Nothobranchius furzeri: one gene and its partners. Each later gene encodes a partner of the first gene's protein in a complex. Links are inferred from orthologs where the notes say so. Each region holds a gene or a part of one and is shown on either strand. Other genes may lie near its edges. The genes, in order: sf3b5, gpkow, snrpd1, sf3b4, phf5a, cwc22 and sf3a3.

Region 1 (4,199 bases):
CAGTTCCCAGTTTTGTCTTGAAAAAGCAGGTCGGCTGGTTTTGAAAGCAGTCTTTTGGCAATTTTTAATAACATCATAAACCTGTGTTCTGTTGTTTTTAACACCGTTATTTTTTTTCTTCAACCACCTTTTGGTGGACTTTTCTAAATTTCACCCACTGATTTTTCAGATAATTTTCTTCCGTGAAATTTCCTACTGCAAATAAGCAGTTTCAGCATTTGAACCACAGTGCATCAGTTATTGTTGTAGTTGAGTAAAAGCATTTTGCTACAACTATAATAAAATAAAGATTATCTGCATTAAATTCTCTTTTTTTTCTTAATATTGCAGAAAAGTATTGGGTGTAGCTGAAAAACACCAGCATTTCAGAGTAAAAGGCTTCAAAAGGCTACCTGCCACCTATGAATGTTTATTCAAATAAACCCAAATCACATTCAATCCAAATGATGACAAATAAAAGTGTTGTGAAAGAATAGATGAATAGCTGGCTGTAAAATAAATAAGATTGTAGAAAAAGGTCAAATTTTAATGAATAAGCAAAACTTATCATGGGCACATTGTAATCATCAATCTCTTCAATCTCTTCACAGATAATTGTGCATCACTTAGACACATTTACCGTTCTTGTAAACATTGAGATCTTGAAATAATTTGTTTTGCCTCAGTGCTGTCCATATGCAAACAAAACTACTATAAATGGATGATCCAATTATTTTTGATAGGGTCAAACAGGATTTAATGGTAGAAAAAAGAATTTCCAGGGACAAAAGCTCACTCTGGAGTTATTTAAGCATCATCGGGCTTGTCTGCTGGGGGCCCACATGGCTGAAGCATCTTCTCCATCAAATTGAAGCGAACGCGGGCCTTGCTCTCATTCTCAGCCACGGAGAAGTAGTTTAGCAGGTCAAAGTGTCCCATGTAGGAGCAATATGAGTCACGATGTTGGTTGACCAGCCATTCCCACTTGCTGGTATCAGCATGTCCTGTGCCGATGTACTTTGATTGAAGATGTTCCAGCTGACTGTGGATGTTGTATCGGTCCGTCATTTTCACTCAAAGACTCTGGATGGGGAAAGGATAGAAAAACATCACCCGTGATGTTCTTTAAAATCATTTATATAAAAAAATTCTACATTTTCTAGAATATTAGGCTGATTCATTAGACGTTGTTCTTGTACAATGTTGTTTGTAAAGGTCAATCTTGTTTGATTCACCAGGGAAAGAAGTCCTTTAAGTTTTAAAATAAACTTGGGGTTTCATCAGTGTCCAGATGAAGATGTACTGTTATTCTTAAAAAGATAATGTGTGCATGCTGTACGTAATTCATGCTGGGATGCAAAAAGCATCACTTGTTTTTACTACATTGTGTCAGAACTCCATACACACATTAGCCTGTATGATGTTGTATAAGGCACATACTGAGCAGGTAAAGCTTTTTAAAATGCTGCTTTCTAGGGATGAACAATATATCAGCATCAATATCTGTATCGGCCGATGTTGGTCAATTTTTAACATATCGGCTCGATAAATAAAACCAGGCCGATATTTTTTCCATCTCGTCTCCATTTGTTCGCCTGTTTCAGAGGGTGAGGGGGGTGATGTGTAATTGTTTAGTCATGTGAACAGTGAATGAAATAATCTCAGACCCATAAATGTGTGTGTTGCGTGTACATAATGTAAATTCAGCTTTAATGTCAGCATATCTGTACCGGCAAATATCAGTTATCAGCCATAACAGTGAGCTCAATATCAGATATCGGTATCAGCCCAAAAATGTCATATCGGTGCATCACTACTGCTTTTCTACATGTTTTAACTTTTAGAACAGCTAAAAAGTTTCAGACTTTTTAACATTGATTTCCAACAATGGTGGAAAGAAGAAAAAAAACCTCCAGCTCAGTCTCTTTTTAATTTGGGTCAGACAAACAAAATAAACGAGTATTTGCAGCTAATCGTAGCAGCAAAAGCTACTTCTTAACAGTATTGATACTATTTATTGACACAATCAGCAGATCGCATGCGCTTTTGATTTAGCAAAAGAAAAGACAACACAAACGCAACAACAAAACCTTAGAAGGTCCCAGGACTAAGTACTGATAACGCAACGTGTGGGTGACTACTTTAATCTGGATGTATGGTGACAACTAGGGAAAAAGACAGAATTAAAGCTTAAAAACTACCACTCCAACATTAAACATCCCAAAAAGACTATTATTTAAAGCAAAATACAAACGAACATTTCAAATATATTGGAAAGGCTAACGATGTTAGCAAAGTTATCTAATTCGTTCATGCAGTGTATTTTTCCACTGCATTCGAATCCTTAATCGCCGTTATTTATGTGAGTTTTATCCAAATGATCAACATTGACATATTAACAAACAAAATACAATTCCAAATATTCGGTCGTTGCCCTTTATTTACACATTTTCTTTGTTGGACAACGTTTGATCTTCCACTCTTTATGCTAACAGTAGCTTAGCTTAGCTAGTCGGTCTTCGTGTAATAAAAGTCTAAATTTAGGCTCCCCTGGAGGGCAAATAATAGCTTCAGCTTCACATCAATTGGTTTTAAAAGAACAAAACACTTACGTAATGTGTACAGAGATCAAGAACTAAAACAAAACAGGTAAATTAATTCTGAGTCGTTCAGGCACTGACAAACGACCACTGCCGGCGCGTTACCCTATGAAATGATCCGGGTAGGAACAAATGTCGTACTGTTCTGATTCCGCTCCATTGGTCAAAGTGTACTTCTTACTCACTCAAAGAAAGTTTTTTTTTTTTTTTTTTTTTAGAAAATCTGGGTACATTAAATACAGTTATTATTTTCTTTGGTTTATTTGTAGGTTAATTGAAAATAGGTTGTGTCTATGTTGCAATCTTTTCTTTTTTATGTTTTAAATTCGTGTGTAGCCTCTATCATCATTCCACACCATTCAAGGGAATACGTCCATTGTTTTTCTTATGCTTCTAAAAACAAATAGTACTACTTGGTCTTCTTCCAAATAAATAGACTGCAGTATTTATTGGCTTTTTCTAAGGATATAAATATGCAAGTGTCTGCAGCAATCATTAGAGTACCTGTGCAGTGAGATAAACTTTTCATCAAAACTGATGTATTCATGTTGTTTTAAAACATTTATCTTAAAACAAATAATCACAGTACAATTTTTCAAATTGCCACATCGAGACTAAATTGCTCAGAATTGCTTAGCACTGGGCTCTCCTGTGGCTGGTATAATGAAATTTTTTCTGTGGATAATGTGTTTGATGATGTTCTGCATTGAGCATGTTTGCTGCCTGTAGAGTTATGACCCTAATTTTCCATCTACCAGCTGTTGCTAATGGCAACCATGATTGGGACAGAAAAATATGAAAATATGGTTAGATTTGGGTTCAGAAATGTTTTGAAATATTTGTTAAAAATTACTCACCTATGATCTTGACTGCTTTTCCTCACTAGGGTCAAAGGGAGCAGTCTTTCCCCAGCAGTCATTAGCAAAGTACACCCTGGACAGGCCACAAGATATCACAGGGACACTGGGACAAACAAACTACCACGTTATGGTAGAGTCGCGTTGTTGTTATCCAACGTGGATGTTTTGTCTCTACAGATAGCACAAGCCTGGAGGAGCTTCTGCTGTGTGGTGGGGTTGCTAATGCTAATGGTCAGTGTTGGGAAAGTTACTTTTAAAAAGTAATTAGGTATAGTTACTGATCACGTCGTTGTCCAAAAAGTAACTAAAAGTAACTAATCACCAAGAAAAATAAACATTTTGTTACCTTTTTTTTCACTAAAGAATGCAAGAAAAATGGGTTCCCCTCTTGATTAAACTTACTTAATTTACTATAAATTACTACAATACTGAAATATAAATGACTAATGACTGGAACATAATAAAATGTATGTCAAAATGTTTTTTTTTTATCAAACTGAATAATTGAAACAGATGGGCACTTAACAGGAGGAACTACAAACAGGAACATTACATTAATCAAGACTATTAAAATGTCACTGTGTGATATTTAACAAGACCCCAATCAGCTCAAAATTATAATTGCAAATATAAACAACTGTAAAGGTTCCTGAGCCTTTAAATGGTCTCTCAGTATAGTGAAATTCCTGAAATAAAAGTAATTTTGCACAGCATTCTAATTTTTCCTGCTTCACATAATTGTGTGTTATTAGTAGCATTT
Region 2 (3,953 bases), on another chromosome or scaffold:
AAACCGATAAAGAAAATAGAAAAGCTATCAAGAAACTCTCAAAACACACACACACACACACACACACACACACACACACACACACACACACACACGAAGCAGATTCTCAGATTTCTCATATTTAGACTGAATACTGACCTGCCTTGCCGCTGACACACACACATTCTCTTCAAGCAGTTCAGCCTTTCAAAGAGGATCCGTTTGAACGCGTCTATATACATTGACCCTGCCGAGGTTAAAAAAGGAGCAGCACTTTAATAAATAACGCGACCTGTTTGGTTTGGAGCAACAGCAGGAGCTGGAGGAGGAGCGAGGAAGAGTCTGGAGTCTGGAGGAGATGAGATGAAAGGCGATCAGCCGGAGCCAGCGGAGAAAGTCAGAGCCGATGCGCACGGCTGACGGGATGTTTGGACACTAGTGATGCTCTGGGAGCTGAGGAGAGCGAGAGAGCGGGGAGAGCAGGAGAGAGAGAGAGAGAGAGGAAAATAAAACACACACACACACACACACACACTATCGGGCAGATTTGACGGCGGTCGCAGATAATTTCAGCAGCTGCTACATTGCTGCGAGCAAAAAGGAGAAAGGAGGAAAAAACAAGAAGGCGTGGATGGTTGTGACCCAAACGGGAGGTTTTAACTTGTGCAAAGAGAACAGTGCGTTTCTTACCCCCATGTTCACTCTCTGCGCCTCATCGTTTATCCATCATGCATACAGAAAAAGCCCGAATTACCCCCCAAAAAATCATACAAATGTCGGGTTCAGCAAATAAAGGTGTCGCTGAACTTCAGAGGTTGCGCAAAAGCAGGTGCGGAAATAGTAATAAGGTTGCGCTCATGCTGCTGACATGCAAATGCGGAGAAAAAAACAGCAACATTAGGCTACATGGCTAATGAAAAGGTTAACCTCACAAGTTCAGGCGCTCAGGAGGCACTGGGAGGAGGAGTTAAAAGCCCCGCCCACATTCTGCCTAAAACACACCTGCATCAGCAGCACCAGAGTCCGCTTCACTATCTGCGATTTAAAGGAGTCAGACCCACGCATTAATCCAACTCATTCAGCTCTTGTTTCTTTTTATTACAGGAGACTAAAAAGCTCCAGATAAACTATAGGGGTTTACAAGATGACCGCTTCAACGGAGCGATGTTTCAGCTTTTCAAAAATAGACCTGCAAGTCTAGACATGTTCACAATGAAAGTGTTAAACATCAGTACCTTTCTATTTTAAATCAAGTGTCAGTGTAATTACCGTCTGTTTAACTACTTTAAATGATTTGATATATTATTTAGTTACTAATAACCAACGGATTTCACAAATAAATCAGTAAATCTCGGATTGCCTGCGACCTTTAAAGAACTCTTATTATGAGGCATGATGGGATCTGTAGTCAATTGCAGCCTAGAGTGGTTATCGGGCTCGTTAACGCAACCCCATCTCCCAGAATGCACTGCGCCCTCATCGTTCTTCTTCCACAAACAATCATGGCGTCGCACGGAGACGGTTCAGGTGCCGCCGAGAACCAAGGAGATAAAAAGGCAGCGGCGGTATCGTTTGGTTTCACAAAAACTGTCAGCAAATTTAAACCCGCAGCCGGCGGCATTCCAGCCAAGACCGACGAGAAGGATTACCTGACTGGAATCGACCGAAATGAGTTACAGAGGTAGGCTAACCGCTAGCTAGAGGCTAAAGCTGTCAGTGGTTTGTAAACGGAGTGGTGACGTTTGAACTCTAAATCTGACTGACCACACTTTTACGTGGTGTGTGTAATGTATCTACCCGGGACACTTTAAAGATTTAACTTTTGTCTTCCGTGGCAGTTCAAAGCCAACCGAGAAGCCCAAAGAGCTCATCATCCCATTGATCCAGAAGAACCGCTGGCACAAACCGGACCGAGCGGACCCGAGTGGAGGCTCAGCGCGCGGCTCGGTCCAAGACAAAGACTCGGTGGAGTCTCAAGCTGTCAAAGAACTCATTGAAGGTTTGTGGTTGAAAAAGATGCAGAAGTTGGACAATGAATGGTTGCGTGTCAAAATGTGTACCCCCTCGCAAACGGAGCCCATCCTGGAAGTGTCTTCCTGCTAGACTGTAAAACAATTAAGAGCACGAGCTCCATGGCCGGTTTGTGTGTGTATTAGACAGTTTTTACTTTCCTACCCAACACTAAGAAAACCATCTTTATCAGTGACGTTGTGTGTTTCTGCTTGTAGATTCACGGAGGCAGCTGGAGCAATGGCAGAATGCAGCAGAGTCGAACAGAAGCCTGGACCTCTCCATCCCTCTGTTGATGCAGAACAAAGTCCCTGAGGGTTTTGAGGATGGAGACCATGTAAAGGTGGACCTGCGGCCTGAATCTGTAAGTGGGGACAGAACGGGCTGTAAGAGACTTAGGAGTATGCAAAGTTTACCAGACGAATGAGAAAAGATAGAAAAATTAATTATTCACAATTTTGTTGTTAGAGCAGCTTAAGTCAAGCCATCTGTTATAGTCAGTAATGCAACAAACCAGAACCTTTAGATTTATAAAACAAATGGAATAAACCTTTAAAAGGTTTAGTAAAGTACAGCAAAATTATTCTTTATCTTAATGATTAATTTAAAGCACGTGTACATGCTACTGCAGCAATCTGACACCCGGATCTACCAATATCCATCAAAAGTAGAGATGTAAGAAAATATCGATATGGCAATATATCGTGATATTTTTCCCAGCAACATTATATCGATATTCAAAAGCCGTGTATCGGAAATATCGATGTGGCAATATATCGTGATATTTTTTCCTGCGATTATTACATCGATATTCAAAAGCCGTGTATCTAATTCCTGAAAGAATTTACATGCAAACATTTGTGTATTTTCGTTTTGCGCAATTCAATCAGCACCCGCTAGTTGGCAGCAGTGTGCAGCGGGTTTTGTTTCCACCACTGAAATGTAAATCCCTCCATCATGGTTCAGATACCTCATGTTAAACATGTTACGTATCAGTTTGGACTGTTTATTGAACATTCTTACAATAAATTCAGTTAAAAAATTGCTTGTAACGTCTGACTGAATGTATCGCAATATATCGTGAAATATCGTATCGTCTCCCCTGTATCGTGATATGTATCGTATCACAAGAATTTCAAAAATACACATTCCTAATCAAAAGGCATGCTTACATCATCTTCGTCAGCTTGTTAAAGGATTGTACCACCTCACAGACGTTTGGTTGTGATGTTAGCAGCAAACCATGAAAAGTAAAGTTCGACCGATAATGGTTTTTCTGTTGCCGATACCGACGTGTAAAGGTTACGGACAGCTGATGGACGATTAGTGTTGCCAATGTTCTGTGCCGATTTTCATGTCTAGATGTTTTCCGCCCTATTTTCATGCTAATATGTCACAGGTAACACCAGTAAATGCACAAAATTTCAGAAGCTGAATCGGTTTTTGAACACTAAATTTAACTGTTAAATTTTAATCTTGTGCACTGCTCAGTGTTAAAACCAGACGTCTCACTAAAGTTAATCAAACAAATCAGGATACTGACCGAGTATTAAATGCTCAAAACTGGTAAACAAACTCTTATTTTTGGTGGAAATAATTTTTAGAGCATTAATTAAAGCAGATGCTATTCAGGAACATAAAAATACAATTAAATCCTGCAGCAGTGCCGGGCTGCCTGGGGATGTGCCTGACTTAAAACCGGCTAGGTTGTGTAATTGACAGTGAAAACTGTAAAAACCACGTTAAATCCAGAAAAAGCTGACAGGTTGAAGAAATCAGCAGTGACAATTTCATCAGTAACAAACGAATCTTTAAACTTCACTTCCTGACGGACGTGAAGGAAGGCCGTCGGTCTGAGCTCGTTATCTGTCTGAGGATGCTACGGGAAGGTTGTGATAGAATCTTCTGGACAGGTGCCTCAGTGAGGGCACGAAAACACCTGACAGTACAAAACGTCTGCTACT
Region 3 (3,683 bases), on another chromosome or scaffold:
TTAGGTTTATACGCTTTTAGCATATCGGCGTTCACACTACAGCATCGTTTGACTCGTATTTATTAGCTGCTTTAGAAATAAATCATTTATCATCACTTCCTTATTATAGTGAGGATCTTCTTTTGGTGTGTGTGCCTTCTTTAGTTTCTATTTGTTAACATTGTTTTTTAAACACGCTAAATCAAAGTTTAAAAGCCTAAAACATTTCATGGCGCAGCGGCCCGACGTTTAACCCCTTTATCTGAATGTTCACGTCCAGCTGACCTTTGATTTTATTTTGTTGGACGTGTGACTTCCTGTTTGAGCCCCGCTGTAACGTTTACAGGAGAATAAAACACGACTGCTGATCTGAAGATCGATTACTCAGTTGCTATGGTTAAGGTGGAGAGAAACCCCAAAAGGACATTATCTGTTTCCACATGAAAGATTTCCAGGAACACGTGCTCACCTGCTGTAATATTTCATGACTTCTGTTTTAAACCACTGCATAATTAGATTTTCTTTTCTAGAGTTCAACAGCAGATGCACTGAGTCGAGACTTTTTCTGCTCCAGAATATTAATAACGTGTTGCGTCAATCATGTGCAGGCAACACACAGAGAGGATGACGGTTTTATTTATTTTTATTATTATTAGAAGTGGAATAATGCTGAGTTTAATGGCCTTGTGCCGTTTTTCTTTTTGTGCTTCACACTTTATGATTTATTGGTCTCAGCCTACATCTTTGGAATAAAAAAAAGCACTCTCATTGATTATACTTGATACATTCCCAGCAGGTCTCAAGAAGACAGATTTGATGTGTGGCCAAATCTCTTAAGTATCGGTGCAGAGTTTACTCTTAATAAAATGAGCTGAAAGTGCTGCTTTGTGGTTTTATTCAACTGCGACAAGTTCTCTGAAGTTGTCTCCTGATCTGTTGAATGAATTAGGTCTTGATCAGTTAGGGTTAATTGTTGTGGATATTTTACCTTTTTTCATCTTCCAGATTTTGATAAATCAGTAAAAATGTAAATTTTACTACGACTTTAACACATGTTGCACATAAACACCGTTTTGACCTTTTGGTTGCAAATTCTGCAGATCACGAATCCAGCAGTAGGTAACGGTAGTGATCTTCCTAAATATTGATCATTTAGGGATCTTTGTTTTGGATATTTGACCTTTTAACTGCCAGATTCCAATAAATTAGTAGTAAAATAAAGATTGTGGATTTTAACACTACTGTAAAACATGTTGCACAGAAAAATAAAACAAAAGTGTTAGAACGGATCACAATTCCACCAGTAGATGGCGGTAATTACACCCCCTCGTCTTTGTTGTCGCCTTTTAGTGACGTCACATCCCTGAACGTTTCGAATACAACAGCGGCCTGTGTTTTCACTCGATCGCTGTAATTTTTGTCTTCGGTGGAGGATTTTTCTCTACTGTTTTCCATCATCATGAAACTAGTCAGGTAGGCGGCAGCGGGAGGTCCCGGATTAACCGGAGAATTAACGTAAACTGATCAAATGAAAGTGATGTGGCCGGATGGATTGGGATTTGATTAAACGGTGATGAGGCGGGAAGTGGAAAAATGTAATGGATCCTGAGCGACGTTACGGCGACCGCTGAGGGTTTAAAACACGTTCCTACGCACAGTTTTAATTATCAACATAGATGAACGTCTACTTTAAGTACATTTCTATTTCAATAAGTAAAAATATTAGGCTAGACGTTAACTCATTCAACCGTTGTAGCATTAGCTTGTCAATCAACTAAAGCGGCTCAAAATGGGGTTTTAACATAATTTGTTAGAGTTCATTTTGTAAATATTTAGTTTAGCTGTTAAACTGGTGGATAATCAGTGTTTTTATTGTTTCAAACGCTTTAAAAGTCACCTAATAGCCATCGGTGGCTAACTAGATAGCTAAAGCTAAGCTACTATCTAGCCTCTGCGAGAAATGTCCCAATTACGTTGTGATGTTTTCACTCAGTCATCGTGTGCAATGATGCCCACAGGTTTTTGATGAAGCTCAGCCATGAAACCGTAACCATTGAGCTGAAAAATGGCACCCAGGTTCACGGCACCATCACAGGTGAGCTCATAAAGGTGGTCAGATAAGCCAGGAGTCAGCTGAAGCTCTTTAATTTCAATACTAATGACATATATTTGTATGCATTAAGTAGATTAATACCCACAGCTGTGCTTTCATCCTCATAGTCAGACTTTAGTACAGATAAATCTGCACAATGTATGTTTTTGTATTATTTAATCCTATTTGATGGGATTTTTTTATGTTTAACAAACCCTAGACAAGCACACACACAACCTGCAAATTAAAATATTTTCTAATCTGTAAAATTAATCCTAAACTCAAGTGCCAGATGTACTTATGGCTGGTGTTTCATCCCTCCTCTCTGTTTTTCAGGTGTTGATGTGAGCATGAACACTCACCTGAAGGCGGTAAAAATGACCCTAAAAAACAGGGAGCCCACTCAGCTGGAGTCGCTGAGTATCCGCGGCAACAATATTCGCTACTTCATCCTCCCAGACAGCCTCCCTCTGGACACCTTGCTGGTTGACATCGAGCCAAAGATCAAGTCCAAGAAGAGAGAAGCAGGTGAGAAAGGTGAAAATGCATAAGATATGTTGAGTTGAATTTTATCTTAAGGTGTTTTTTTTAGAAAGTGAATCTGAATTCTCCTTTGCGTGAACAAAAAGGTTTTCACAGTGATGTAACTGGTGTGTTTGCACAGGTTTCTGCATGGGTTTATATTAAAAGAACTAAATTGTAACATTAACTGTACGACATAATTTAAGGAGTGGTTTAAAGGACCAGATGCTAAATGAGCAATATGGTGTTTGTGACACTTGTGCTGATGCTGCTCATCTGTCTCCTCAGTGGCTGGACGGGGACGAGGCAGGGGACGGGGACGTGGGAGAGGAAGGGGACGGGGACGAGGTGGACCAAGGAGATGATCGCAAGGCTGTTCTGTTGATTCCTAACACTTCACTGTTTGTACAGGATTTTTTTTTTCCTTTGCTTCATTAAAGCAGAAACGTTTTGTGAATTTCTGTGTGCTTTTTAGTTGGACTTTTTTTTTTGTACATTAAACTTCTGGTTAAGAGGACAAATTACTCTGACTTCTTTGTGTTGGTTTTTAATACTGAATAAAGTGTCAGCACATAAACTAGCATCATTAACTACTGTGTTGTCCCAATCAGATCCCAATGCTACTGGTGTACTAGCCAGCCCCACGCTTCCTTGTGTATAAAGTTACACAGATGAGTCTGGCAGGCCAGGCTCTAAAATAAAAATGTATTTTATGAAATTATTATTTAGTCATCAGACCTTTATCCCACTACAGTTGACAAAATAAAGCAAAACTGTTTATTTAGTCAACTTTTAGGTGCAGTTTCTCACATCAGTTGTGATAATTGGTAAAACTGCACATGTAGGTGGGGGAACGTTGTTTTACATTACACCGGGGACCAAAGTCACCGCTAGATGGCGGTGTAGGAAAAGTGACCTGGTAGATGGTAGCCTATAGGATGGCTTGCCGGGCTAACGTAGAGGTTCGTGGAATGACGTAAATCATTGCCCAAAGCTAGTTATTTTATATTAAACGATCATCTTTTAACATATTCGTCACATGTCGAAGGCACCAGGTTCTTTTCGAGCAGGAGTATTTTTATCACAATGT
Region 4 (4,066 bases), on another chromosome or scaffold:
AAATTATCAGGCTGAAGTATATAAAAGGCTCAATAATATGCATTATGGTTTCGTCCATCATGAACAGCCCCCCTCCTTCCACTCTCACTGAGACTTCTTTGCTTCGTTCAAAAGAGCCAGTCTTTTGAGCGGCCCTTTGAAGACGTAATTATTTTTATTTTTATGAGCTTTACTATCTATTTGTGGTATAACGGTTTGTGACTAAATGCATTATGGGATACTTTTCTGGTCCAAGTCCAAAGATGGATACTTTATTGTAATGGGTGAAGGACGAACACATCCAGGAACTTTGAGCGTACTTGCCATGATGCGTACTTGGTATTGGAACAGTACACGGGCTAACGCCAATGACATTTCACAATTAATATAGTACACACGTTTAAACAAGTACTCATATTGCAAAACAGCCTATAACTTGTTTTTTTTAATTAGTCTAAACCTTTCTCTTTCTGTGGTCTTTGGTGATTGCCAAGCAACACTTCCTAACCAGGAAGCAACTTGGTTCGCTCCCTGCTAGCCAAACTATCTCTAAGTATCATGACAGTGCTATACTTTCTCATATTTATGCCATAATGTCAAATTATTTCTTTATTATGTGACAAATATTATGAAGGTTAAAAGAAGGCGATTGTGTTTATGAACACCGGGTTTTAGTGAATCAGCTTGTGAAATATGTGTTGCATTATTTGGTTTGTGTTGTGAAATTCTGTTCTCGTTTTAGGGGCCAAAAAAAGAAAATGTAATAAGTGTATTTGAGCAGGTTTAATGAGTGAGCCTGGAGGTCTTTAATTTTGTTTATTTTTAAGGTTTACTTTTTAAAATAAAGTTCAGTAGATGTATTTTTCTTCACAAGCCATTAATTATTCTCAGCTCTTTCAGTTATTTTAATGACTATTATCTATGAAGGCTCCCTTACTGATGCTTATTTTAAATTCATTTTATAAACAGCTTTGGCAACAGTTTTATTTTTTGTCTTTGGTGCATGATGTTAGTTTCTATTTTTAATGTGTGTTTTATATATATATATATATATATATATAAAAAATAGTTACTTTCTAAAATTTTTGAGACCCTAAATGTGTGTATTTTCTATGAACACTTTGTATTCCATGTTTATACCTTTAGTATATTTATATGTATATGAAATAAATCAAATAATAAAAATAATTGTGGCTTTGTTTTGAATTTGTTGTTAATGGTTAAGTGCCATACAACTAAAAATATCCCAGAAAAAACTATCAAATCAATTCAAATGAAACTTAGTGATTTTGATTGCCTTTCAAGTTTTTAATTAACATTCATTTATTTGCTGTCTTTTTTTGTTTAGGAATGTCTGGGTCTTTAGTGTAATCAGAGTATAACAATTTTTTATGTAACTACAAAAACAGAAGAATTAGTTTATTTTTACTTTAATTTATTTGATCTTATTTTATTTTGTTGGGTTTTACCGGAAGAGGCGGGCCTTCCCTTCACAACGCTCTCCCAGCGTTGGTCATTCAACATGGCAGCGGGACCAATTTCAGAAAGAAACCAAGGTAATTTCATTGTTTAAATGGTTTAACGCTTACACCTTCATTATTTAGCGATATCTCTTGATTTATAACAATTGAAATTCTTATCCGCTCTTTCCCACCAATGTTAGCTGTCTAATTAGCCCGTGTTTTGGGGGTAAATGCGTACTCAAACACATGGAAGTCTCCGGTCTCGTTAGCCTAGCTTCTAGCTAAGTTAGCCGTTTTTTGTTTATTTTAATTGTATTACTTAATGCTTGTATTACTTAATGCTTGACTTCACGATAGCATACGGGAGTTTTATGTTGTTTATTTGAAATGCAGAGATTATTCCAAGTCAGGACTAGAACCACTAAACAACTAAAGTTAGCCTTAAAAACTCGCGACATTAGCATGTAGCAATGCTCACCTATCAATGTAAACACCGTTTTCCTTAATAGGTATTTTCTTGTGTTTCCAGATGCCACCGTGTATGTCGGTGGTTTGGATGAGAAGGTGTCAGAGCCGTTGCTATGGGAGCTTTTTCTGCAGGCTGGCCCTGTTGTCAACACACACATGCCCAAAGATCGGGTCACAGGTCAACATCAAGGTGAGAATCAGGCTATTCAAGATGGGATGAAAGTCCTAAAATTCACTGTAACAATGTACATAACAAATGAAACTGTTCCACTCAGGTTATGGATTTGTGGAGTTCCTCAGTGAGGAAGATGCTGACTATGCCATTAAAATCATGAACATGATTAAGCTCTACGGCAAACCGATTCGCGTGAATAAGGCCTCCGCCCACAACAAAAACCTGGATGTTGGCGCTAATATCTTCATCGGGAACTTGGACCCGGAGATCGATGAAAAACTGCTCTACGACACGTTCAGTGCTTTTGGCGTTATTCTACAAACTCCAAAGATCATGCGAGACCCAGACACCGGCAACTCCAAGGGTTACGCCTTCATCAACTTTGCCAGCTTTGATGCGTCCGACGCCGCCATCGAGGCCATGAATGGCCAGTACCTGTGCAACCGGCCCATCACTGTGTCGTACGCGTTCAAGAAAGATTCTAAAGGAGAACGCCATGGCTCAGCGGCAGAGCGACTGCTAGCTGCACAAAACCCTCTCTCGCAGGCAGACAGGCCACATCAGCTGTTTGCAGATGCTCCGCCCCCACCATCTGCACAGACGCCACTCCTAACCGCAATGGGCCCCGGGATTCCTCTTCATGGTATGACTGCTCTAATCTTAACTGCCGATAAAGAAGTACCTTTCTACATTTATTGGGTTAATTATATAATAGTTTTGTTTTTTTTTTTGCGCAGGTTTGCCGCCTCCTGGTGCCTTTCCTCACGTTCCTCCCCCTGGATCAATGCCTCCAACGATGCCCCCTTCTATGGGCATGCCTCCATCAGCAGGGACACCAGGTCCTCCATCTTCTCTTGGTGGACCTCCAGCTGTTCCTCCACCTTTCGCACCGGCCAGCATGCCTCCAGGTATAACTCGGTTGCAGAAAAGCCTGAAAATTTAAGTCTCTGCTCCCCATTTTAGCTTTAAGAAGTCCAATAACGATTAATAAAATTGTGCAGGATCAACCTCAGTCATCTCCTTCAAATGTGAAGAAATAAAAACAATAATGTTTCAATTTAAATGTCAGGTTATTAAAATGCAGCTGTTAGCCCTGAATGAGTTATTTTTATTTGTTTGATCCGGGCCCACAGGTATGCCTCAGATGCCCATGCCGCCTGCTCCTCCTGGCATGGTGCCTCCACCTGCTCCACCAGGATCGGCTCGAGCTCCACCGCCCCCCAGCATGCCCCCACCTCCTATGGGCATGCCTCCCAGAGCACCGTATGGACCCCCCATGGGTGAGCACTGTGGCATTTTCTCAAAAATACAATTTTTTTTAAATGAAAGTTGTTTTTAACCTGTTATTTCTTTTTTTTTTTTTTTTTTTCCCAAGCCCACCCTGTGCCTCCAGGTATGAGAGGACCTCCCCCCATGCCTCCTCCCGGCTATGGTGCCGTTCCTCCTCGTCCACCTCCTTTTGGTTTCCAGAGAGCACCTCCAATGCCACCAAGACCTCCCGGTGCCCCTCCTCGGGTCCCTTGAGAGCACCAAGAGCTCCGTGATCCACGTCAGACCACAGGAACATTCAGCTTGTTGTTTTTTTAAATACATGTTTCGATCTACTGGATTTTGTTATCTTGGAAGTAATTTAACCAACTGTTTTTGATTTATGCTCATTGTACAGATAAACAGAAAATTGGCAAATAAACATTTTAGTACAACTTTTGGATATTTTTGCGTTTAATTATTACTAATAAACTTGTAATGTACCAGAAATTAGTTTATGAGTAAAAGCTGCATAATAAGCAGGTGAGAGAGTAATATGTTCTAATTTATGTCCAAAAGGTATTTATAACTTGAGGCAGGGGCCCCAGTAGGTCATATACTCTCAGGTATTATGGTTTTATTTAAAAAGTAAAGTGATATTCCCTACTGTTGGGATTAAAATCCAAAAATATTTTTAAAAGAATTTTTTTAAAATGTTTTCTTTGGACATTTA
Region 5 (4,151 bases), on another chromosome or scaffold:
TATATAAACTTTAATTGAAGTGAAAATTTCCTAGCCATATTCCTGAAAAAGGGCGTGTCCTTTGACACGTTATAATAAATAGAAATGGTAAGAGAGAAGTGGGACTAGTAGACTGGGTTCACTCAGTTCTACAGCTTGCTGCTAAACGTTTACATGATCTAATAAGGTTTAATAAAACTAACAGGCTTAGGCTAATTTGAAAATGTTTAATGAAAAGATTTGAGTATTCCATCTGATTCATGTTCACCAATTATCTTTTCCAGTCACAAAACATGAAGACAGAAATAGAAAAAACATTTTATTAAGAAAAAGTTTTTGGAAAAAAAAAAAACGACTATGAACTCGGTGTTTCTCCTGTCTTCACCTCTTCTTGAAGCCGTACTTCTTCCTTTCATAGAACAGATCTGTCTTGGAGCTGCCCAGGTTTACGATCTTGGGACAGCCATCTCGCTGCAGAGAGGAACAAAATATTTAGAGACGTTCCTGCAGACACAGCTGGGCGTACGAGAGGAGGACTCACATCTTTCTCCTGGATGGTGCACTCTTTGCAGTAGTAAGCGTCAGACACGCCGGGACCTCCGCAGATCACACAGCGCCCCTGATAGGAGCCGTAGTTACACTCATCACAAATACGCACCAGCGTGCACGGTCGCACGTAAGAGTCGCAGATCACACACTTCCCATCACCTGGAAGAGGAAGAGAAACTAAGCTGGTGATGGGAACAATAATTATTTCTACATTTACTAATAAAGTGAAAGTGCTTCTGATCTTATTAGGTAACTGTAACAATCACAAGACTGACCCGCCGTCTCTTCTGTGAGTGTTTGGAACGTTAGGAAGAGTTTCAGTCACGTGTTTTTAAGTGTGAGTGGTTGTGAAACGAAGTGGGAGAGGAGCCAAAGCTGCACTGGAGGTGTTGGATAAGTGAAACCGGAGATCTGTTTAACTGCGACTTTTCCTATTCGACCTAATGGCTTCATTGACTTTTCTCAAAGCAAAATGTGGAAGTGACATCTTTCTCAGATTTAAATCTGAGCCTTGATCTGTGTGTACAGGTGCAGACTCTGCTCAGCTCGTGTCCTTCACCTAAACCAACTTCTGTCTCAGGGTCCCATCTGGACTCCAATGCACCAGAATGCCACGTTTGGAGTTTCTTTGATAATCCTGCAACATTTGCAATAACTTTAAAATTTTCCTGTCGGGTGCTTTTCCAGATTTTCTGGTTAAGTTGGCAAGTGTCCAGACAGGATGTCCACAGGTTTGAAAATTTCTGTTAACACATTCTTCTGTTGTCTCTTTTGTCCCAGCTGGGACACGCTGAACTCAGTGGATGGAGAAACTAGTTTTAGTGAAGTTCAGTGTTGAGAGTTTAACTTCTCTCAGACTAGTTTCAGTCTGGTGAACATCTTGGTTTGGGTTGTGACCTCGTTATTATTCCTCATGTCCAGCATGTACTGTCTAAAGGTGATTCATGTTTGCACGGTCTGTGTAGAAAATATGTTTTCTTCACTTACAGCCATACATCTGGACCCTGATTACTGTAAATGACCACCAGATTTTACCTGCATATGAGTCTGGGTCACGGGGGTTGCAGCCCCAGCAGAGATACCCAACCTTGCCTCTTTCTGAAGACCTCCTCCAGCAGGATCCCCAGGTGTGCCTTGCCCAAAGTGGAGGTACCTCCAATGTGTCGCAGGTCGACCTGGAGCCTCCTGCTGGCAGGACATGCCTGAAACGCTTCCCCTAGGTGGAGTCCAGGGGACATCCATACCAAATTCCCAACCCACCTCAGCTGGCTCCTCATCTTTAAAGACATCAGTCAGTCAAAAGCTCTGCCACGTGTAGCATATGATATATGCTGCCATCCCAATTTTGCATCATCACAGGATTCTGCCTCACTTTCAAGACCAATCCCAGTCTTTGTCCTCGATATCCAAAATCCTAACGATGACCTGCATATCTCCACCTCCACCCTAAGGCCTCGTCTTCCTTTTCCTTGTTGACACCTCAGATCATTTTCAAATTCTCTTATCTAAATTTATGTTTGATTATTTTAAAAATGCTGCTTAAATTTACATTGCATTGACTTTAAAATTCATTACGGATTTTACATTGGCATGGTTTTTTATAAGGTGGGTGTTTTTAAAGTGCCTATAAATAAAATCTAGAGGTTTAACAGCGTTTATGATGGTTGGTTCTTTTTAGCCGCCTTTACTCCAAGGAAATCAGCTAGATCTTTGGGTTAGAATTAGCCAAAAGCACAACGTTCTAGAGGAAAACCTATAACAGAAATAGACTTTACAGTAAACGTGTTAAAAGTGGAGACACTTACACTTCTCGCAAAGTCTCCCGATAGCTGCGGGAGGAAAACAGAACAGTCGTTCAATTAAACGTTTCAATTTTCAGGATAAACGATAAATTTGTACTTCTCTATGTTCAATACTCAGTTAAACGGGTTTAAAAACCATAAAATTGTTAGTGTCAACAGAGATGAAAACCGTAAAGACACGTCCAGCTCCGCTACTCATTTCAGTATTTATGCTAACAGTTAGCTTAGCAGCTAACACATGGCGCAAATCAAACGTGTTTCTGATATATCTGTGTAGTTTCAAAGGTACCGAACGACATAAAGTAAAGAAACATACCGACACCCGCTTGTTTTCGACAGAAGATCAAATCTGGGTGATGTTTAGCCATTTTCAGCTAACCAACGACGGCCGAACGTAATTCAGTTTTAACCTTTGACCGGCGTGCAAGTGTCGAGTTGAGTCGCTACCACCACCTAGTGCCTTCACCTTGTAACTACACTCTTAAAAAACGGGTTTCAAATAAACAAGGACATTGGGTGAAAATGCTGTCATTAGCCCAGAATTTAAACAAATTTCCAAGTTTTATGTTCACTAAAATTCTTTATCCCTCTGCTCCAGAGGTGATGCCTCATCCTGATACGAGCTGCAATGTCTCTGAGTTACCATAGAACAGCAGCAAAGTTAATAAAATTACAAAAATCCCTGGGTTGCTGACACTGTCTCAAAAGGTTCAACAACAAATAATGAAGAATAGGGAACATTTTTATCCAGGTCCATTTTATTATTTTCTTTTCAGTTGTTGTTTAACCACTAATCAAAAGCCAAGATGGATTTTCAGTATATATTTATTACTTTTGTCAGTTTCAAATCATTACAATGACCACTGTGAGTTCTTCTTTAACAGAATTATACCAACAAACATTAAAACAGTTAACTTGGCTAATATGACCAGCCAGTGAATTAGTCTAACTAGTGAAACAGGTCCACATTGCCATACCGGCTCCTGGTCTATGCAGCCAGGATCAGCCGGTTTTCATCTGTTCACCTACTGGTCTGACTCTTACTCCCGACTGGATATTTGCTCACAAAAACAAATCTGATAACGAAACAAAAACAATGACTTGATCACTAACAAAAGCTTTTGAGGAACTGGGTGTAGCTAGGGTGACCTTGGGGGAGGCGAGACAGTTCTGAACTCTCTTTTTGGGTCGGAGGGTCTGAGAGTTTATAAACAGCAGAGATTCATGAGACATAGCTCCAGCCGTCTTTTGATTCACATCTGTTACCATCTCAGAACGTCATCTACAGCAGCCGCTTATATCTCCATCGGTTCAGCTCCTCCTGCAGTGTCTTGTTGTGTTGTTTTCCCACATCTCTTCCATGCTCCTCCCATTTTCTGGCCTCCTTTTTTCTGGGGTTTGTCTTTTTTTAACTCCGCTCAGCTTGTCCTTTATGCTCGCCTCCATTTTCTGCTGTTTCTCTTTTCTCTGCGGTCTGATGGATCATGTCTGCCAGTGGGCTCTGCTCTGGCACCTGATGTCCCGACTGGATCATCTGCTCGGCCTTCTCTTGTTTCACTTCACACTGCGAGACTTTTTGAGGCTGGTCTGGGGGGTTGATAAGGGTCTCCATCTCCTCCACCTTCACCTGCACTCTAACGACTACAGAGACACAACCCAGTCACACAACAATGATCAAAAATGACCTTTAAACCAAATTTGAAGAGCCTTCACTTACTCTCTCTCTCCTCTGGTTCAGCCTTCAGCTGGACGAGCGGCGCCGCTGGACATCGGCTTTGAGAATCGTCAGTGGTCGTATTCGTATCACCAGCCAGCTGATTT
Region 6 (4,137 bases), on another chromosome or scaffold:
TCAGCCCACAGCTGTTGTCGATCTGATGTCAGGGTTGACATCCAGACTAATTCCACACATCTTCATTTGAAGAGATTCAGACTTGGCTGTAGGCCTCAGCATGGCACAGTTAGTGTAAGATAGTGTCATTAAACCACTCTACATCAGTGGGGATAGCATGAAGAGAGTGCTATGCTTCCAATTTCTGGAAGCACTAATGATGGAGGACATGACTTGGGGTGTCTTTCTAATGGTGCTTTATTGAACCTTGTGTCCTACTGCGCACCATGGAGGACAACAGGAAGAAGGAAGATGAAGAAAGAAGAAACAGGAAGAAGGAAGAAGAAGAATAAGAAGGAAGAAGGAAGAAGAAGAAGAAGAAGAAGAAACAAGAAGAAGGAACAAGAAGAAACAAGAAGAAGAAGAAGAAGGAACAAGAAGAAGAAGAAGGAACAAGAAGAAGGAAGAAGAAGAAGAAGAAGGAAGAAGAAGAAGGAAGAAGGAGGAAGAAGAAGAAGAAGAGGAAGAAGGAAGAAGAAGAAGGAAGAAGGAACAAGAAGAAACAAGAAGAAGGAACAAGAAGAAACAAGAAGAAGGAACAAGAAGAAACAAGAAGAAGAAGAAGAAGGAACAAGAAGAAGAAGAAGAAGGAACAAGAAGACGGAGCAAGAAGGAACAAGAAGAAGCATTCTTCTTCTTTTTTTCTTCTTCTTGTTCTTTCTTTCTATGTGTTCCATCTTGTCACCCTTCTTAAAGTGAATTCCTGAATAGTTGTGAAAATCATTTACAAGCTTGCATTACAATAGCCTAATATATTAATCTTTCATTTTTGCATACAGAACCTGTCAAGTGAGGTCAGATCACCCTGATCCACTGCAAACTACTTGTGTTATGAAGAAGGATGTCTGATTATTAAAAGAAAGAAGACCCTTCTCCATGTTAGACAGAACATGACTGATGTAATGTGTCATGGTGAATTCAGCTCAGTGGCTGGAGTTTAGGACAAAAAGCACAGACAGTTTGAAGATAAGTTTATATATTTGTTTATTTATTTGCCACAATGTAATTAGTTATAAATAAACAAACTTGAACAATGAAAGCTATATTATTTTTTACATCCTAACATGTACCAAGATTCTTCTTCTTATTATTATAATTTAGTTAATGCTTCACAACTTTAAAACATCAAAATAAACTGTGTTCACATGTCTTTTTTCTTTTCTTTCTTTTTTTTCTTTCTTTTTTTATTTTTTTACCTTTTTATATGTATTTTTCTGAGAGGGTGAATTTTCTTGCTTCACCGTAACTGGAAAATTGGCAACAGCTTGCAAAACTTGAAACTTTTATTGTGAAACCCGGAAGTAACCTTTGACCTAACGGATATGGTTTAATGTTTAGACGGTTTCCGCTAGTCGAACTACAGTGATTTAGGAAAGTCGGAAATATCTAAAGAAGATTGGATATTAGTGGCACGGAAGGTACGTTTGGTTAACATCGTTTTGCAGAGTTATTGAAAATCTAAAAATATAAAGGATTAGATGGCAGACTGGCAAATAACAATATAGCGCTAGCGACAGAGCTAGCTTTAGCGCATTAAGACACATGGCGACAACAGAAAATTCCGACTAAAACAAAGTTTATTCACACACAGTTATGGTGTGTTATTATATCGTCTCAGCGTTGTCCTGTTGGACGTATAAATAAACCCGTTGAATGATTTCTTCCTTTCAAGGCCAATAATAGGAGTTGGTTTCTTAGTTGTTTTTGTATCATATCTTTGAATAAGACAACTCCGCTGAAAACTGCAGCGAAAATACGTCTAACATGTTTTTGAAACGGGGTGACAGAATTTATTTCGTTCATGTTGTCCATTTTATGCTTAAGGGTCATTAAATAAAGTTTTTAATCGCTTGTCGCAAAAATATTTTTACTCGTCTTGTTTCAGGTAGCAACGTCATTATCCAAACAACTAGACTTAATAAGACATATAAATAAACGTATATCCATAGAATAAACACTAGCAAATTAAACCAAAATACCAGTTTCTTTTAGTTACTTTTAAGCAGCCTAAAGGTCGATAAAGAATGAATTAATGTCAGTTCGATGGTTTTTAAATCCAGGTTTTCTTTCTGGGAAAAGATGAAATGCTTAGTCACTTAAAAAGTCAAAACGTCATTTATATTGACTGGTCCGTTTTTATTTTCTCTAGTTAATCAACCAGTGCTTGACAAAGAGATTCTTTCCATTTTACATTAACGTTTATATTTGCTAACATTTTTTCCTGTTATCGGAGAATAAGGACCAGTAGGATTTCATATGGCACAAACAACAAAGGAGTTTTTACATTCTGTTTATTAGAAACAAGAAAAGTTTGGATAACAAATTAACAGATTACTCTAATCTTTATTTTAGTAAATGGACTCTTCAGCCAAAAGTGAAAGTCCCAGTCCTGCACATAGAGAACACAAAGGTAACACTCACAGTTTCTTTCTTTATGTTTTTCCAGAAATGACATATTCATCTTCTTTGTCTACAGAGCCATCAGAAGATGAGTCCAATCAAGCAGCAGCGATACCCCAACAGGCCGGTGTGGCAGAGAGAAACCCCGAAAAGCGATCCTCTCCTCAGTCCGGTCCCACAGGCTCTAAGAGTCCTGCCCCCTGCAGCTCCGACAGCAGAAACAGTGAGGATGAGGAGGAACATCAAGATGCACTGCAGAAGATTAGGAGCAGTGTGGCTCAGATAAATGTAAGAATCAAGCCCTGCTCTTTTTGTGTTTTCAATTATTACGCTCTTTAATTCTGCTTTGTAAACTAAAGCAGAAAAACTAAATAACTCACTAAAAAGATATTTCAGAAGTCCAGTAGGACTTTATTTTTCTTGTCTCATGTTTTCATTTTCTTCTGTCTTCAGGTTTCAGATCATTTTTACATGCGATGATCAAAATATAACATCCTTAAAATCCTTTTTTTTTTCTTTCCAGACATCCAGATCCAAAGAGAAGGACAAATCTTCATCCAGGGAAAAAGACAGATCTCATTCTAGAGAACGGGACAGGTCCCGGTCCAGAGAGAGGGACAGGTCCCGGTCCAGAGAGAGGGACAGGTCCCGGTCCAGAGAGCGAGACAGGTCCCGGTCCAGAGAGAGAGACAGGTCCCGGTCCAGAGAAAGAGTCAGAGCTCGATCCAGAGGACGAGACAGATCCAGGTCAAGAGAGAGAGACCGAAACACGGAACGCTTTGATAGAAGACGTTTTGGTCGGTAAGAAGTTTCTCAGGACGTGTCATTAACACCATGCCTACATCTACCTACCAACTTTCATATTTACTAGAGAAGATTCACTAAATTTGAGTAGGATCTGGCTGCAGACATCAGCTGGCGTGCCACCGAAAGAACTTTCTAGCGAGAACAAGATGGCGTGTCATTACTTTTACCGGAAAATCGACGATCGAAAGACCTCGGCCGGAAGTTGGTCTTTTTTGGCGGCCGCTTTTGTTTCAACCATACTCGGCTGGTTTCATAGAGGTAAGGTAAGGATGAAATTAACTAATTGTTGCAACCGTTCTTAGTTCTTAAATGTAGGCACTATAGCATTTAAAGCTTTACCAGAGAATTATTGCAAAGGGCACCGTGTTTCATAGCTAATTGTATCAATATTAACACGCAGTCTTAAAACGAATGCAGGGAGTTCACAAGCTAACACAAAAGCTACATAAATAAAGCTATCAGCAATTGTAGCTTAGCTTTAACTTAGCTATTTGATTTTTCTCGTCTCCCTGTTTGTTAAAACAGTTAAAGTAATAATATAAACTTTATATATAATTTAGATATGATATAAAGACCACGATTTCTAATACTGACTTGACTGAAACGTTATTAATACCCTTTTTTAATTAAAAAGCGTAGATTTTCAGAGATTTGTAAGTGGTTTCAATCACTAGTTTTCATACGAGGCTAAAGTTAGCTTCCGATTCGGGAAATGGCTAAAGGGCTAATACACCCAATTTTTCTCTACTCAGACCATTTTTATTCTGCTCTAGCTCAAAAACTGCAACACATACGTTCTTCAAACCTGTTTTAGATTATTCTGGGCTCGTAGTAGCAGAATGCATAAAACATAGTTTGTGATATGTGAAACCTTCCTCTGATTTGTGAAAC
Region 7 (4,220 bases), on another chromosome or scaffold:
TATGTGTTCAGACTTTAACCACTGATGGTCTGATCCAGGTGTCAGCATGTTGTTTATTGGTTAGAAGTTAAAATAGGTTTCGGAATCATTGATGTGGATCTCCGGTTCTAATCTGTGATGTTTCATCAGTCTGCTGCTCCTGGTTTGTGAAAGAACTCTATTGTAGCGTGGTGAGCTACTCCGGGCTGAGGAAACTTTCTGATGTTTTTAAAAACCCTCAACACCTCGGAGAAGTGGGTTTAAATGTTCGGAGAGTTCGGGGGAGCCCACGGGCTCGTTCCGACCCGGTCCGCTCCGCCTGTTTTGTTGGATAAATGAAGAGTTAGCATCAAGCATGTAGATGTCGGAAGATGCTGCAGCTAACCAGGAGCAGCCCTCTGGTAGCGGGTCTGCCACTGACCTCTGCCAGGTCTGCCCCAGTAGCACAAAGACAGAATGGATACCCCCCACCCCCCCACACCTCGTCTCCACAACGACAACGACCGCCCCCCCCCTTCCGCAGATAACGCCTCAGCGCCTCAAATCCATTACAGCAAGCGAGTGTTGTCACCGTGGAAAACTGGCTGCTCACCTTCCTGAACAGGCTGGACGCACCGCGGCGGAGAAAACGGTTCCCAAAGTCCCTGTAGTCCACAAAACCCAAACACTGGCTGCCCGGTGCTTTGACTTGCTGCTGCTGGAGAACGTACCGAAGCCAGAACGCCACTGTCAAGGCAGCGACTGTTACTGTGGAGTTTCCGGTGTTGACTGCCAAAATAAAAGCTCTGGCGGTAATTATAAAGATAAAAAGGAATATATATATATATATATATATATATATATATATATATATATATATATATATATATATATATATATATATATATATATATATATGACATGGGATCAGACCTCTGAGAATCATAAAAATGTTGGATATCATTTCTACTTTAGTTTTATCACATCCTGTCACATTACTATACACAGCTCTGACAGTGGAATGCATCGTAAATTGTTGTATTACATTTGAGAATGATTTATCATTTGCACCTAAGAAACAAGTTATAAGCGCCAACACTTCCGGTCTGTGGTAAGTGCGCTCCACCGCGTGTGCGCTGGGATAGTGTGTGTGTCCTGATTTTGCAGGCTTTGATGAGATGTGATTAGAAATAGCTCACAATAAAATAACCTCAAACAGCTCACGTGAACGAAAATTTCTATTTTGATCCATAAAACCGTCCGCAGTCGAATTATTCACAAACTCTCACGTCTGGATCGGTCTGGATGGACAGCAAATAATAATTTTAAAACTTTCATAAAATTCTAATAATATAAAAATAAAATATATGCTAATTTGTCCACTTGTAGGAATCCCGTACTGTCACCGTTATGGACGTTTGTGTGACCACAGCGGAACTAATAATTGGGAAATGTTTTCCTAGCCGTACTGAAGCGGACAGTAACTCCTGAACAGACGCCTTTGGTCAACGTACCATACTGCGCTGTGCTAACGCTTCAGCAGCAACCCTGAACAGTCTTCATTAAACTCTTGAGCATTTTGTAAACGATGGAGTCGATTTTGGAACAACAGCGTCGCTACCACGAAGAGAAAGAGAGGCTGATGGACGCAAAAACTAAAGAAATGTTGCACAAAAAGACCACGGTAAGCAGCGCAGCTTTTAGCATTAGCATGTTGCTAACACCAACGCAATGTTCACGTATTTGTTTTCGACTCTTGTTTCAGCTGCGGGATCAAATTAATTGTGATCATCGAATAAGAGCCATGTTGGATGTAAGTATGAAATGCTGCTCTTCCACCAGTGAGCTAAATGTTGTTTGGTGGTGTAGTTTTTTCCGTCGTGTTAAGTAATAGAGTCAATAACAATCATTGTGCTTAAGATCTGAATTTTATGAATCATTGCAATCGATGTTGTTCTGATTTGTTAAATGTAATATAGAAGTTATATCAGAAAATAAAGCTTATTTGTTGTTGGGTAAAGTTGCTTTTATTTTTATTGAGTTACCTGTAATGCTTGGTTCCTGCCTTGGTCGTCATTCACTTTTAGTGTAACTTTGGTGAATTTTCACCATCCATCCATCCATCGTCTGAACCCGCTTGGCCACGTAGGGTCGCGGGGGGGGGGGGACTGGTGCCCATCTCCAGCGGTCAATGGGCAATCAGGCGGGGTACACCCTGGACAGAGTGCCAGCCCATCGCAGGGGACTTTCACTGAATTTTCACTAATAGTATCCAAACGTTTAGAGAAGTAAATCAAAACCTCAGGTTGATCACTGCTGCTCTTTTAATCTGAAGTTCTCCTCATTAAAATGCAGTGAAACCAGAGGGCTTTACTGACACATCCAGACTTCATACACAAAACCCAACAGGTGGTACAGAGGGAGGATTGATCCTGCCAACGCTTACATTAAATTAAGAAAGGGCAAAAAAAAAAAGTAATTCAATAAATGAGGAAATACAATTGAAGATAACACACTTGGAGTTAAATGAATACAATTATTAATTTCCACATCTATTTTTTTAATACATTTCTTCATTTATATTCCTCACACTTCCTGTGGTATATGGTGATGAGGTGAATTAAAGTTAAAGTCCCACTAGTTGTCACACTGATGTGTGACATTGTTCTCTGCATTTGACCCACCCCCGGCAGTCCTCCAAAGGTTGTTGGAGACACGGCAGCACTCGGGAGCTATTTGGTGGTTTAACCCCCGATCCAACCCTTTAAAGCTTAGTGCCAAGCAAGGAGGCATTGGTTCCTGTTTTTCGAATCTTAGGTGTGACTCGACCGTGGATTTGAATCCCGATATCCCAGTCCCAGGGCAGACACTCATACTAATAGCCCACCTAATAATTGCATCATGTATTTCTATATGTACTTTCAATTTTATAACCAGTTATTGTCAATTTTGGTGGGATCAGACCTCCATAGGTTGATTTTTAAAATGTTTTAAATAATTTTAAGAATCACATTTAAACATGATCCTGAATGAAAGCGTATGTCGTGGTTGAATAAAATACTTGATCAGCTCAGTGCAGTGTGCTGGTTGCTTCTAAAGGTAATGTGCTTTATTTAACAATCTGATGTTTATTTAGATCTTCTCAGATCTAACAGAACTATGATGACATCTGAATCAGTCTGATATTTCTACCTGGAGATTCTAAGAAGCAGAATTTGTCAACTGATCTCACACACAGCTTAACCCAAAGTCTTAGATCCGGAGGGCATTATGCACATAGGGGTTGGGGTGCTCGGAGCGCCCCAACCCCTATGTGCGTAATGCCCTCCTCCCCTTTTCATCTAATGATCGTGGTTAAAAGGAAATCCTCCAGAATGCTGCAGAATCTGTGTCTGCTTTTTTTTTCCTGAGCGGTAAGTCTTGTGTGAGTGCATGCTTGCATGCACGCGCGAGTGTGCCTGCGCTAGTTAACAACTCGTTTTTAGATTGAGAAACTCCGACAGCACACGCGGAGGGGTTGAGGGGGGTGCGGTCTACCACTGCCTCAGTGCCGCTCTCCCGGTTCGCCAGGTGACGCCTCTTTCAGAAGCGTTTTTCTAACAGGAAATGTGGATGAAATGCGTCTCCAACCAGGCATTGACCCTCACTTTAAATAGTATTCTAGAGCTAGGTGTTGTCAAGCTATGTGTTACCATGGTAATTTAGAGCCAAGTCTATTACCATGATGATCTAACAGTGAGTCAGTGTTGGCTAGTTTAATGTCATCTGTTGTCATGTTCTGTGTCTCCTCACAGAGGTATATGGAAGTGAGTGCAAATCTCAGGGACTCTTATGAAGACAAAGATGGGTACGTTTTAATTTTTTTAAATATATTCAATGTACTTTTTTTTTTTGCTTGTTAGAGTTAAGCTGTTGTCTCTTTCTGTTACCCATTGTTTACTCAGGTTTGTTTTCCTGACAGTAAAAAAAATCTAAATATATAATTACATTTTTATTCTGGCCTATCAGAAGCGTTGGTATCCCATTCCACGGCTTTTGTTGCTACTTCTTTTATTAAATATATTAAATATTAAAGTCCAATGGCTCTATTTATAAAACTTTGTTTGGATCCTTTACTAAAAAAATTTACTTGCAGAAATAAAAAATTGGACCCATAAAACACTGCGTACATATAGCTGTACACAATTCCTGCTTTATCTAACTCTACCTAGAAATGTGTTCAGGTGATTTTGGATCACATCCCGCCTCCCGCACACCCACTG

What was found.
Region 2: sf3b5 (region 1) and gpkow share a complex: the UniProt entries of both Homo sapiens proteins name them as parts of the minor spliceosome. The link is inferred for Nothobranchius furzeri from reciprocal best matches to the Homo sapiens genes SF3B5 and GPKOW.
Region 3: sf3b5 (region 1) and snrpd1 share a complex: the UniProt entries of both Homo sapiens proteins name them as parts of the minor spliceosome. The link is inferred for Nothobranchius furzeri from reciprocal best matches to the Homo sapiens genes SF3B5 and SNRPD1.
Region 4: sf3b5 (region 1) and sf3b4 share a complex: the UniProt entries of both Homo sapiens proteins name them as parts of the SF3B subcomplex of the 17S U2 SnRNP complex. The link is inferred for Nothobranchius furzeri from reciprocal best matches to the Homo sapiens genes SF3B5 and SF3B4.
Region 5: the proteins of sf3b5 (region 1) and phf5a are in contact, whole or in part, in a cryo-EM structure (PDB 7EVN), measured with the Homo sapiens proteins. The link is inferred for Nothobranchius furzeri from reciprocal best matches to the Homo sapiens genes SF3B5 and PHF5A. Residues at the interface, in NP_112577.1 of Homo sapiens: Arg4, Tyr5, Thr6, Ile7, Gln10, Leu14; in NP_116147.1 of Homo sapiens: Pro6, Asp7, Leu8, Ile9, Phe10, Cys11, Arg12, Ile88, Leu91.
Region 6: sf3b5 (region 1) and cwc22 share a complex: the UniProt entries of both Homo sapiens proteins name them as parts of the minor spliceosome. The link is inferred for Nothobranchius furzeri from reciprocal best matches to the Homo sapiens genes SF3B5 and CWC22.
Region 7: sf3b5 (region 1) and sf3a3 share a complex: the UniProt entries of both Homo sapiens proteins name them as parts of the 17S U2 SnRNP complex. The link is inferred for Nothobranchius furzeri from reciprocal best matches to the Homo sapiens genes SF3B5 and SF3A3.

Annotation. Positions count from the first base shown.
Region 1 is NC_091752.1:24,290,177-24,294,375, reverse strand, and holds sf3b5 (splicing factor 3B subunit 5), read right to left. Parts: upstream 2,705-4,199; 5' UTR 2,592-2,704; intron 1,063-2,591; 5' UTR 1,048-1,062; coding exon 787-1,047; 3' UTR 501-786; downstream 1-500. UniProt on the Homo sapiens protein: Component of the 17S U2 SnRNP complex of the spliceosome, a large ribonucleoprotein complex that removes introns from transcribed pre-mRNAs.
Region 2 is NC_091755.1:41,971,939-41,975,891, reverse strand, and holds the start of gpkow (G-patch domain and KOW motifs-containing protein), read left to right. Parts: upstream 1-1,153; 5' UTR 1,154-1,364; coding exon 1,365-1,660; intron 1,661-1,817; coding exon 1,818-1,978; intron 1,979-2,207; coding exon 2,208-2,353; intron 2,354-3,953. Other genes in the region: membrane-associated guanylate kinase, WW and PDZ domain-containing protein 3, read right to left, coding at 139-221. UniProt on the Homo sapiens protein: RNA-binding protein involved in pre-mRNA splicing. As a component of the minor spliceosome, involved in the splicing of U12-type introns in pre-mRNAs.
Region 3 is NC_091759.1:18,894,640-18,898,322, reverse strand, and holds snrpd1 (small nuclear ribonucleoprotein Sm D1), read left to right. Parts: upstream 1-1,314; 5' UTR 1,315-1,438; coding exon 1,439-1,452; intron 1,453-1,997; coding exon 1,998-2,074; intron 2,075-2,407; coding exon 2,408-2,608; intron 2,609-2,881; coding exon 2,882-2,958; 3' UTR 2,959-3,183; downstream 3,184-3,683. Other genes in the region: gamma-glutamylcyclotransferase, read left to right, coding at 3,680-3,683. UniProt on the Homo sapiens protein: Plays a role in pre-mRNA splicing as a core component of the spliceosomal U1, U2, U4 and U5 small nuclear ribonucleoproteins (snRNPs), the building blocks of the spliceosome.
Region 4 is NC_091759.1:1,630,057-1,634,122, forward strand, and holds sf3b4 (splicing factor 3B subunit 4), read left to right. Parts: upstream 1-1,266; 5' UTR 1,267-1,501; coding exon 1,502-1,535; intron 1,536-1,971; coding exon 1,972-2,100; intron 2,101-2,185; coding exon 2,186-2,728; intron 2,729-2,822; coding exon 2,823-2,993; intron 2,994-3,218; coding exon 3,219-3,365; intron 3,366-3,460; coding exon 3,461-3,609; 3' UTR 3,610-3,788; downstream 3,789-4,066. UniProt on the Homo sapiens protein: Component of the 17S U2 SnRNP complex of the spliceosome, a large ribonucleoprotein complex that removes introns from transcribed pre-mRNAs.
Region 5 is NC_091756.1:28,019,722-28,023,872, reverse strand, and holds phf5a (PHD finger-like domain-containing protein 5A), read right to left. Parts: upstream 2,801-4,151; 5' UTR 2,699-2,800; coding exon 2,647-2,698; intron 2,358-2,646; coding exon 2,334-2,357; intron 688-2,333; coding exon 521-687; intron 451-520; coding exon 361-450; 3' UTR 286-360; downstream 1-285. Other genes in the region: l3mbtl2 (lethal(3)malignant brain tumor-like protein 2), read right to left, coding at 3,739-3,971, 4,048-4,151.
Region 6 is NC_091754.1:30,022,249-30,026,385, forward strand, and holds the start of cwc22 (pre-mRNA-splicing factor CWC22 homolog), read left to right. Parts: upstream 1-1,337; 5' UTR 1,338-1,457; intron 1,458-2,391; 5' UTR 2,392-2,394; coding exon 2,395-2,449; intron 2,450-2,515; coding exon 2,516-2,727; intron 2,728-2,962; coding exon 2,963-3,240; intron 3,241-4,137. UniProt on the Homo sapiens protein: Required for pre-mRNA splicing as component of the spliceosome. As a component of the minor spliceosome, involved in the splicing of U12-type introns in pre-mRNAs. Promotes exon-junction complex (EJC) assembly.
Region 7 is NC_091751.1:25,496,844-25,501,063, forward strand, and holds the start of sf3a3 (splicing factor 3A subunit 3), read left to right. Parts: upstream 1-1,420; 5' UTR 1,421-1,546; coding exon 1,547-1,642; intron 1,643-1,723; coding exon 1,724-1,771; intron 1,772-3,752; coding exon 3,753-3,805; intron 3,806-4,220. UniProt on the Homo sapiens protein: Component of the 17S U2 SnRNP complex of the spliceosome, a large ribonucleoprotein complex that removes introns from transcribed pre-mRNAs.